Linked DNA regions of Ovis aries. The protein of the gene in region 1 purifies or fractionates together with the protein of each later gene. This does not show direct contact. Links are inferred from orthologs where the notes say so. Each region holds a gene or a part of one and is shown in the gene's direction. Other genes may lie near its edges.

Region 1 (3,254 bases):
CAGAGGGAAGGGCAGGGAAACTTCTGAGAGGCAGGCTCATTCAGCTGGGGGGAAGAGGAAGGCAGCGCTCAGCTGGGACTGCTGCCCCATAAAACGAAACGACATGCATCACAGCCGCCTCCATCGCCTTGGTCCTGTCTTTTCTCCCCAGTTGCTAGCGTTTCCCCCCCTCCTGGTACCCAGCTGGGCAGGGTACCCAGGTGGCGGGCATCCCTGCCTCTGACAGAGGGCGGGGCTGAGTTAGGCAGGAAAGTGGAACAGCCAGTGAGCTGGGTCCCCACCCTCTGTGCGCCCCACTGACACATGATGGCAGACAGGGGGGGCAGGTGACCTGGTGTGGACAGCCAGAGGGCAAGTCCTCAGACAAGTGGCAACAGGCCACCAACTTGAAAGGGAAAATTGTGCTGTGATGGGGAAGGTATCCAAAAAACCTACTGGGTGACTAATTACAAAGGCTAGGCCAGAGCGTCAGAGGCCGCTCGTTAAACACCTCATTAAGTGGCACTCTGAAAGCTGCCACTTTTGCATTCTGGGAGCTCAGAGGGGACAGGATCCTGAGGAGGAGTGAGGGGTGGTGGGTAGAACCATTTCAGGTAGACTCTGGAAGAAGCCTGCATGTCACTTTTAAATAGTCTGGAGCTCACAAGTCAAAAGACTTGATGGGAGCAAAGCCAAATTTAGTAGCTGTGTGACTGTGAGCAACTCTCATCTTTCTCTGAGCCTTAAAGCGGTCCCGCCTCTACAGTGGGAGTAGTGTCACAGACTTGCCCATTTCACACAGACAGAGCAGGTTAGATTAAGTTAGATCATGGGTATGAAGGCGCTTGGGAAGCTAGCTACCGCCCTACCTAAACAAAGAGTTATCCCTCCTGAACCAATATGGGAAACACACCTGGCAGGACTGGGAACCGCATCCTCCTGCACCTGGCTTTATGGGCTCTGCCTAGGCCCATAGCGGCCAGGTAGCTGAAGCCATCCTCAACCCGTGTAAGAACACGGTGAAGGAGGATCTGATTTCAGCAACTGGGACAGCTACCTACGGTAGGCATGTAATAGAAGCCCTGAACCAGAGCGGGCAGCCTGGGGCCTGGAAAGGTGTCGGTGCAGGTGAGGCCAACGCCCAAATCTCTCCCGCTGACAGTCCGGATGACTCACCCCCGGCCCCCGCCTCCCTACCCGCCATCCAAGCCCTTTTACCTTTAAGGAAGAGCGGAAAGGGTGTGGGGGCGAAGAGGAGAGGGAGGCAGGTCCGGGGCCCTAGCCCCGCCCTCTGCCCCTCCCACCCTTCTCTGGGCCTGGCCTTCCAGCCAAAAGGCGGGCAGAGAGCAGGAGAGGCACAGAACCCGGCCTTGGTTCCGAGGCAGCCAGTTAGCCCGCCGCCCGCCTGTCTGCCTGTCCCCAGAGCCATGGAGAGAGCCAGTCTGATCCAGAAGGCCAAGTTAGCCGAGCAGGCCGAACGCTATGAAGACATGGCAGCTTTCATGAAGAGCGCTGTGGAAAAGGGCGAGGAGCTATCCTGCGAAGAGCGCAACCTGCTTTCAGTGGCCTACAAGAACGTGGTGGGTGGCCAGCGGGCGGCGTGGAGGGTCCTGTCCAGTATCGAGCAAAAGAGCAATGAAGAAAGCTCGGAAGAGAAGGGCCCGGAGGTGCAAGAGTACCGAGAGAAGGTGGAGACGGAGCTCCGGGGCGTGTGCGACACAGTGCTGGGCTTGCTGGACACCCACCTCATCAAGGAGGCCGGTGACGCCGAAAGTCGGGTCTTCTACCTGAAAATGAAGGGCGACTACTACCGCTACCTGGCCGAAGTGGCCACTGGCGACGACAAGAAGCGCATCATCGACTCAGCCCGGTCGGCCTACCAGGAGGCCATGGACATCAGCAAGAAGGAGATGCCGCCCACCAACCCCATCCGCCTGGGCCTGGCCCTGAACTTTTCCGTCTTCCACTATGAGATCGCCAACAGCCCCGAGGAGGCCATCTCTCTGGCCAAGACCACCTTCGACGAGGCCATGGCCGACCTGCACACCCTCAGCGAGGACTCCTACAAAGACAGCACCCTCATCATGCAGCTGTTGCGAGACAACCTGACGCTGTGGACGGCCGACAACGCTGGGGAAGAAGGGGGCGAGGCTCCCGAGGAGCCCCAGAGCTGAGCCGCACCCGCTGCACGCCCTGCCCTACCCTGCCCGCTCCAGTCCCCCACTCCCGGCAGAGAGGACTTGTATGGGGTGGGAGGTCCGACCCTTCTCCCCAAACGCTCTGGCCCAGCTCAGAAAGGCTCCATAGAGAGGAACAAGCAGAGCCGAGTCCCCCTGGAGCCAGAGGATTCCATACTTCCTGCAGCTGTCAGGGGCTCCTGGCCACTGGTCATCATCCAGCCCTGCTCTGTCTCCACCCCCGCCCCCCGTCCCAGACACCCCCCCCCCCACCCTGACCACTTCCTCCCCACTCCAACCCCCTCCCGCCCCTGCTACCTATGGATCTTAGGAATTGAGGAGTGTCCCATCCTTAGAGCTGAAAACCGAACTGTGTGGCAGAGGTTGGTGATGAAGGTGTGTGTGTGCGCCTGTGTGTGTGTGTGTGTGTTGTGCAGCAACCAGGACCCAGGATGAGAGGGAGAGCATGTCTGCTGGGTGTGACCATGTTTCCTCTCAATAAAGTTGCCCTGTGACACTCCGCCTGTCTTTTTCAGTTATTGCGGAAGGGCGGGACAGGGATTGGTGTGTGAGTTACAGAGACCCTGACCTCCTTGGGGCTGGCTCAGTGACTCGCAGGCAAGACTCTGGAGCCAGGAGAGAGGCTGGGGATCCAGCCCTCTCCATCAGGGTCTGGTCTAGTCCCCTCAAACTGGTCCTATCCCGGGAGGGTCGGGTGAGCAGCGCCAAGGCGGCTTGGAGACTCCTCTGCCAGGAACGTGGGGTGGGAGGCTGAAGCGCTCAGGTGTGAGGGGACAGTCTCCGGGGTGAGGTCGGAGGGGTACGCCGCAGTGAGCGGCACTGAGCACCTCAGACCTGAAAGCGGGGAACAGTCCCATCAGATCTGAGCGGAGGGAAGTATCACCAGGGGGCGGGTATGACGCCGCCATTAAAAGCTCAGGTCTGAGGAGAAGACCGCCTTCCAATGTTCGGAGATGGGGACAAAATAAAACAGGCCGTTGACGAAGAAGTGCAACTTGAGTGCGAAGAGCCGCCAAGAGCGGGTTCGGCCGCGGCGGGCCAAACCCACCGCCCCCGCATCTCTGCTCCCAGCAGCGA
Region 2 (3,648 bases), on another chromosome or scaffold:
TCTAAGATTTGTCTAAAGATGTCATTATTTTGCCTTCATCCTTAAAGGATATGTTTGCCGGGTATAGAATTTTAGGTTGGCCTCTATTATTGTCCAGCACACTGAAGATATTTTTCTTCTGGCCTCTGTTATTCCTAGTTGTTGTCAGTTGTCAGATATAAAACTCTCTCTTTTCTCTGGACTATGTTTAAGTTTTCTGTTGTTTTTTGTCTTTTTTCCCTGTCATTTCAGTATTAGGTGAACATTTTATTTGAAATTTTACCATATTGGGGGATTGTTGGGCATCTTGACTCTGAAGGTTGGCCTATCATCAAATCTCGAAAATTTTTATTTATTATGTCTTCGAATGTTGTCCTTGCTCATTCTCCTCTGTCCCTCTGCTTTTGGAGGTCAGATTAAACATGGCTAGACCTTTTTACTCCATTCCCTGCCTTCCGCCCTCTTTTTGTTTTGTTTTCTTTGTGATGAATCCGCCATTGAATCCTTCCATTGAATGTTTTATTCAATCTATTTCAGCTTTTTTTTCCCCTCTAGAATTTTCTTTTTTTCAAACCTGCTATGTCCATCCCTCCATATAGAGTTATCTTTAAATAACATAGTGAGCATTTCTGTTTTATCATCTCTCTTATTACTCTGATATTTGAAATTTGCAGTCTTTTTCTAGATTATTTCCTGTTGTCTGTTTCTACTGCTTCATCTTCATAGATTCTAGTTCCTTTGTATACCTGAGTATCTTCGGCTGGGTGCTGATCATTTTATTAAAAATTATTTGTGGGAAAACTTTAATGATTTAAAATCTTAGAATGTTAGATTCTAAAACTTAGATAAAGGTAGTGTCTTCCATAGAAGTTTTGCATTTGTTTCTGCCAGTTGCCTAAAAACACTAATTTGTAATTACTGTAAATCAAATTCAAATTTTGAGATTTCCTAGATAAGCAAGGATATTTAAATTTGGCTTCTCATTCTGGTTGGCCTTCATCCTGAGGGTTAGAACTTCGAAGAGGCTTTCCTGCCAGAAACCACACTCTCTGTGGGCCTGGGATGTAGACTTCTATCTTCTTCATGCCTTCAAAGCCATTAAGAGAAAGCTTGCGTTTTTCCCACATTGCTAATACCCTCAGACCAAAGTGGCTTCCATGCATGGTGACCTCTCCAGCCTCCATTTCCCTTCGGTTTTACCAGTGTCTCTTTGGCTGTTTCTCCTTTAAGAAAACTATTTTATTTTAAGATATGGCTGGGGAACAGAATAGACAAACTGAGATAATTTGAGTCATCTGATGACTGGATGGGTGGGGTCAGTTTCCCTTTTAAGCCACAGAGAAGTGGGAATCTGCTCAGAGATTCTGAGTGAAGTGAAACGGTCGGGGTGACTGACAGATTAACTGTGTCATCAAGGGTTGAGTGAAGTGTGACGAAGATCTTGAGTCCCTTGTCATCAGAGAAGGTGCCTCCACGTACTGTCTGACCTCACGGCATTTGCATTCGCCTGGGCGTGGGTATTGAAAACTTACGCTTCAGCTTTCTTGTGTGTCTCCTTTGATTTTTTCAGAAGGGTTTTTGTTTGTATTTGGGGGCCAAGATGAAAACAAGCAGACCCTGAGCTCAGGAGAAAAGTATGACCCAGATGCGAACATGTGGACCGCGTTGCCGCCGATGAACGAGGTAGATAGAGCATTGCTTCTTTCTGTTTGACGTTTTGTTTCACCCCCGGTAGCACTTCGGTTTGCTTCTGCCTTTGAGTGTAATGACCGAGACCCCTGCCTGGCGTGCCTGTGCCCTCCACCCCACCTCCTGGAAACACACTTGCTTCAGTCCTTTGCCAGGTACCCGCGTGGCACGCTGCCCGCCTCCTTCTCAGCAAGGCCTCCCCGCTGTCCCTCAGCTCCCCTTTCGCCTCCCTTGCTTTCTTTCTCTTCATACCGCATCACCCCTCCTCACACACTGGGCCTTTTAAGTTGTTCGCACAGACTTCTGGATGGCAGGGGCCTCTGAGTGGTCAGTGTTGTGAGTGGGTGAGTGTCGCCCTTCGGGCAGCCTTCGTGCAGGCCCATACGCACCACCCCACCACCACCACGGGCGGGCCTGTTGCTGGGGCTCTTACACAATTTCACACGTCAGCTGGGAGCCGCTACTACCCATGCTGAACAAAAATCAGTTTATGGAATCGGGCGGTAATCGTTCTTTCTCGTCATGAGCTGACTTCAGCGAAAGGTGAGGATTTTACCCTGGAGTCCACCTCGCGTGAAATTCCCTTGTTCCGGGAAATTCCTGGACTTGGGTTCTCTGTCTCTTGTGATAGGAGAGTGAGCTTCTGGGGAAAGCAGAACTGTTTGAGAGACACAGTTCTGAGTCTTGTATTTCTTTGCAGGAATGTAATGAAAACCTGTCATTTGTATTAAATGTATGATTATCAGCTTTCAATATGATAGTCGGCCTTTTGTCTACAAAGCTCTTTAATGTTTTTTCAGGCAAGACATAATTTTGGAATTGTGGAGATAGATGGCATGCTGTACGTTTTAGGAGGAGAAGATGGTGAAAAAGAGCTAATTTCCATGGAATGTTATGATATTTATTCTAAAACCTGGACAAAGCAACCTGATTTGACCATGGTTAGAAAGGTGAGAACTATACCTCGTGATGACTAATTCACACGCTGAATTTTAAAGTTAGTTTCTTCATTGCTCACAGATGCATTTTAATGCAATTGATAGTGTTAAAGCATTAACATTAAAGAAGTCTGTCTTTGCTGGTAGCTTCTTGCCTTCACTATTGCCAGTCACATACCAAGCTGGGGAGCTGTGTGAGAGAGTTCGCAGGGGGCGGTGGGCTCTGGGCAGCGCTGTTGCGTCTGTGGCCCATACCTGATGAATGCTCCATGATGGCGCTAACCTAGGCAGGAACCCGATCTCCCAAACCTGTTTTCTGAATCGTCGTGCACGCTTGGGAGGAAACTTTAATCCATTGATCCAGAGGTAAAGAACTGCCATTGGTTTCTGAGAAGAATGAAGACTAAGGGCTCCCATTAGCTGTTCAGGGCTTGATCTGTATTTCTGTTCCCTGGTGGAGACAGGCATTTCATCATCAGGCCAGCGCCTTTCTAGCGCCCTGGGTATTTCACACCTTGGTACTGGGACTCACTGGTAATATGATCGCTCCCTGTGTGTGTGCCCTTCCAGCTGACTTAATTTGGGGCAAGAGTTGAGTGACATCATTCTCTGTGGACTCTGCGTCCTGGACTCTTCAAATAGTGGTGAAAGAAGAGAGCTTGGAAAGCTCCTTTAAAAGCAAGGCCTGTGTGCTTATCTCACTTAGAGGAGTAGTGTTAGGTGGCGCTAATCCTTCCCTGAGGACAGTATGTGTGCTACCCATGCTCTTCCCATTTTTGAAAGCCTCCGTCAGGCCCTTTTCCAAACATCTCCCAGGGTTCCAGCCAAGCTGGTGTTGACTCAGCCAACTTTTAATGATAAGCGTTGCCTCCCCCACTGCTTCCTCCTTCCAGATTGGCTGCTATGCAGCTATGAAGAAGAAAATCTATGCCATGGGTGGAGGATCCTATGGGAAACTCTTCGAGTCTGTGGAATGCTATGACCCCCGGACCCAGCAGTGGACCGCCATCTGTCCCCTGAAAGAGAGGAGGTGAGAGAATGG
Region 3 (3,503 bases), on another chromosome or scaffold:
TTGCATCACACCCTGACCTTGAGCAAGACGCAGTAGTAAGGGTTCCTGATGTGTGACCCTGGACTTTTCCCTCTCCTGGCACTCGCCCTCCCCCAACACGTACTCTCCCTCTGGCTCTGGCTGGCCTGCCCTCGGTGCAGCTCCTCCCCTTCCGGGCCTCATGTTATCATCACCCCCACCCAGCGTGTTATGTACATATCTGAACACCCATGAGTCCCTTGACAGTTTAACTCTAGGAGCCCCCGTGTTCTCACCCCCAGGTCTAGACTCCCGACCTTCACAATGGTCACTGACCTGGAGACCTTTCCAGCCTGTCCGAGCCCCCATCTCTCTGCTTTCAGACCTGCCCTAATTCACTGCCCATCTCCCTCCACAGGACGTTCACCATGGCAACGGCACCCAGCAGACCTTCTACCAGGACCCCACTGTGCTGTACATCTCCCTTCATCGCCATGACGACGGCAACTTCTTCCCTGGCAGTGGGGCTGTGGATGAGGTAACCCCATCTTCCGGCCCGCTCACTCTCACGAGTAGCCCTAACTGTCTCTGTCACAGCTAGCTGTGTGATCCTGGGTAGGCTGCTGAGCCTCTCGGATCCTCCGTTTCTACATTCGGAAGTGAAGGGGCTGCATGAGCTACTCTTGTAGCACTGACATCCAGGGGTTCTGCTCCCGGGACACTACTCTCTACACATCTCCTGCCTCCTGTGTTCCAGGTGGGAGCTGGCAGCGGTGAGGGCTTCAATGTCAACGTGGCCTGGGCTGGAGGTCTTGACCCTCCCATGGGGGATCCTGAGTACCTGGCTGCCTTCAGGTAAGCTCACTAGGGGCGCAGAGGAGGCCTGGCCCAGCAGGGCCCCCCTCTCTTCCCCTTTTACAGCAGCACCAGTTTGGAGGTGATCGGGTGGCTTGTCAGCTCGTCCTCATCTAATCACTATAAGCCAGCCACTATCATTATAAGCCAGCCCTGGAGTGGGCCTGTGGACTGAGACACAGGGAAAGGCATGGTTACGCTAGACTCTAGGGGCATCCAGTCCCTGTGGGGAGACAGGAAAACAGACTGAAAAGGTCAAGGCGTACTTTATAATGTCACACGCTACCAAGAGCCAGTGTTGAGCTGAGTGCAGGGAGACAGTCTGGGGGAGTGAGCAGCAGAGCTGCTATGTTAAGGCGAAGAAAGCTGCCTGGAGGAGGCAGACTTTGCATAGGAGCTGAGAAGCCTAAACTGTGGAGGAGGAGGGAAAACAAGCAGGTGATATCCATATTGGGGTCGTTGCTTAAGCAAAGCCATTCTGTAAGGGGGACTTGGCTCAGGAGCTGTTGTGTATTTCTCTCTGGGGGTTCCTAGACTCCATTTGGAGAAAGGGAAGCCTGGTAATAGGTCTCTGTATACTTTTCTGGAGTATTCTTAATGAGAGTTAATTTTGTAGGAGCCCTGGGCTGGGATTCCTGGCATCTGTACACCCAGGGTCTTGAAGGACAGCAAAGTGGACCTAGGGTTGGGTGAGGAATGAGCGGTGGAGGGAGGTAGCTGTGAGGAGCCGGCAGGTGCAAAGGATGAGCATGGATTTGGTGGCCCAGGACCTCAGAGGATCTGTTGCCCTGGTCAGCTCTTAGGTGGTGAGTGGTGACGTGTGGCCGACTCAGTCCTAAGCAGGTGGCAGCTGAGCGCCAAGTGTTTCCGGTGTTGCCCTGAGGCTTTAGTAACCTGCCCCTTCCCTGTGGCCCTGCCCACCACTCCCCACTGAACACAGTGCACCGGCTCCTCTTTCATCCCCTCATCCTTGGCTCCTTCCTGCCTCTTGCCAGTTAAGAGCCCTGGGTGGCTGAGTCCTTAGGCTGTACCAGGGACATGGATGGTGGGCCAAGGTCGAGAAGCCAGAGGCATCCGCTCATCCTGCTGGGAGTCCTGAAAGTAGGGTGCTCCCCCGTAGAGTTAGTGGGAGAGGACTGGCCCCAGGCAGGGCCCTCCACCTCTGCTGCCGGGCGGCCCTGCACAGCCTGTGAGCCCCCCTTCCCCGCACACAGGATAGTTGTGATGCCCATCGCCCGGGAGTTCTCTCCGGACCTGGTCCTGGTGTCGGCTGGGTTTGATGCTGCCGAGGGTCACCCGCCCCCACTGGGTGGCTACCATGTTTCTGCCAAGTGTAAGGAGGGCCCCGGCTAGGGGGGCGGCAAGGGCATGAAGGCTGGGCCGGGGTGGGTGGGCAGCGCTGCCCAAGTCAACAGGGAGGTGACAGTGGCTGGCCCAGGGCCATGAGCATGGGACGGGGATCATGCACAGGCCAGGTCAGTTCATCGAGCAAGGCCTAAGTCACACCTGGGGACTCAAGTCCTGCAGACTGGAGGCTCGGTCAGAGGACTTCTCCCACCCTGACTGTGTCCTTCCCAGGCTGGGCGGGGGTGGATGGGGAGGAGCAGAGTTCTCAGAACAGAGGGAGCCCACTCAGCAGTGCTGAGCCTGGAGGACAGGGAGGAATATGGTGTGTCTCAGCGGAAAAGACATGGGCTGGAGTCCCTACCCCGGGTTCGAGTCCTCGCCCTGTCACTTACTAGCCACCCTTAACCTCACTGAACATTCAGTGAGGCACACTAGTAAGATTTACAGGGGGTTCCATGTGAAAGCCATTGGTAAAGTAGAGATTTGTCCCCCGAGTCACTCTTTCTCAGGGAGGAGCCGAGCAGGGAAATAACAGAGGTAGAGAGGGCTTCCCCCCCCTGCCCCGGCCCCTCCTAACCCTCTCACCCACCATGCAGGCTTTGGGTACATGACACAGCAGCTCATGAGCTTGGCTGGAGGTGCGGTAGTGCTGGCCCTGGAGGGGGGCCATGACCTCACAGCCATCTGTGATGCCTCCGAGGCCTGCGTGGCTGCTCTTCTGGGCAACAAGGTGAGGTGCCCACCTTTGATCCATGCAGCTGTGGGGCAGGCAGTCCAGTTTTCCCAGGAGCACCCCAAGGGGCAGGCAGTTGGGGCGCCTCCCTGGGGGCTTGCAGATGGGCAGGGTGGGGGTGGCCAGGCCTGGACTGAGGGGAACAGAGTGGATGCCTCTTCTCTGGGTCAGACGTCAGGTCAGCGTCCCCTGCCCCAGGCAGAGCCAGGAGCATATGCCTATCTGAGCCTGGAAAGCGAGGGCCCCGGGGTGGGAGAGAGCTGGGCCTGTGGGTCCCTGCGAGGCAGGCAACTGATGCATGCTTTCTTCTGTAGGTGGATCCCCTCTCAGAAGAAGGCTGGAAGCAGAAACCCAACCTCAATGCCATCCGCTCCCTGGAAGCTGTGATCCGAGTGCACAGTGAGTGTGGAGAGAGGACACTGCTGACCCCAGACTTGGGGAAAACTCTGGGGTCTGTTGCCCCCAGGGACCAGAGCCCCAGGTCTTCCAACCCCAGCCAGCCCAGGGGAGCTGCTGCTGCATCGGAGTAGGCATTCTGTAAAGTACCCCATAGTAATGGGGGGCAGGTGCCCCCACAGGTGAATACCCTCAGAGGCTTCCAGATGGACCT

Evidence for each region.
Region 2: the proteins of SFN (region 1) and GAN purify together in Homo sapiens (affinity purification with mass spectrometry; 3 studies listed by BioGRID and IntAct, with this or other methods). This does not show direct contact. The link is inferred for Ovis aries from reciprocal best matches to the Homo sapiens genes SFN and GAN.
Region 3: the proteins of SFN (region 1) and HDAC7 purify together in Homo sapiens (affinity purification with mass spectrometry; 3 studies listed by BioGRID and IntAct, with this or other methods). This does not show direct contact. The link is inferred for Ovis aries from reciprocal best matches to the Homo sapiens genes SFN and HDAC7.

What each region holds. Positions count from the first base shown.
Region 1 is NC_056055.1:240,067,244-240,070,497, reverse strand, and holds SFN (14-3-3 protein sigma), read left to right. Parts: upstream 1-1,348; 5' UTR 1,349-1,406; coding exon 1,407-2,153; 3' UTR 2,154-2,673; downstream 2,674-3,254. UniProt on the Homo sapiens protein: Adapter protein implicated in the regulation of a large spectrum of both general and specialized signaling pathways. Binds to a large number of partners, usually by recognition of a phosphoserine or phosphothreonine motif.
Region 2 is NC_056067.1:7,472,775-7,476,422, forward strand, and holds part of GAN (gigaxonin), read left to right. Parts: intron 1-1,549; coding exon 1,550-1,662; intron 1,663-2,468; coding exon 2,469-2,618; intron 2,619-3,499; coding exon 3,500-3,636; intron 3,637-3,648. UniProt on the Homo sapiens protein: Probable cytoskeletal component that directly or indirectly plays an important role in neurofilament architecture.
Region 3 is NC_056056.1:138,794,262-138,797,764, forward strand, and holds part of HDAC7 (histone deacetylase 7), read left to right. Parts: exon of another isoform or gene 1-118; intron 119-376; coding exon 377-496; intron 497-715; coding exon 716-813; intron 814-2,027; coding exon 2,028-2,146; intron 2,147-2,756; coding exon 2,757-2,890; intron 2,891-3,207; coding exon 3,208-3,292; intron 3,293-3,503. UniProt on the Homo sapiens protein: Responsible for the deacetylation of lysine residues on the N-terminal part of the core histones (H2A, H2B, H3 and H4).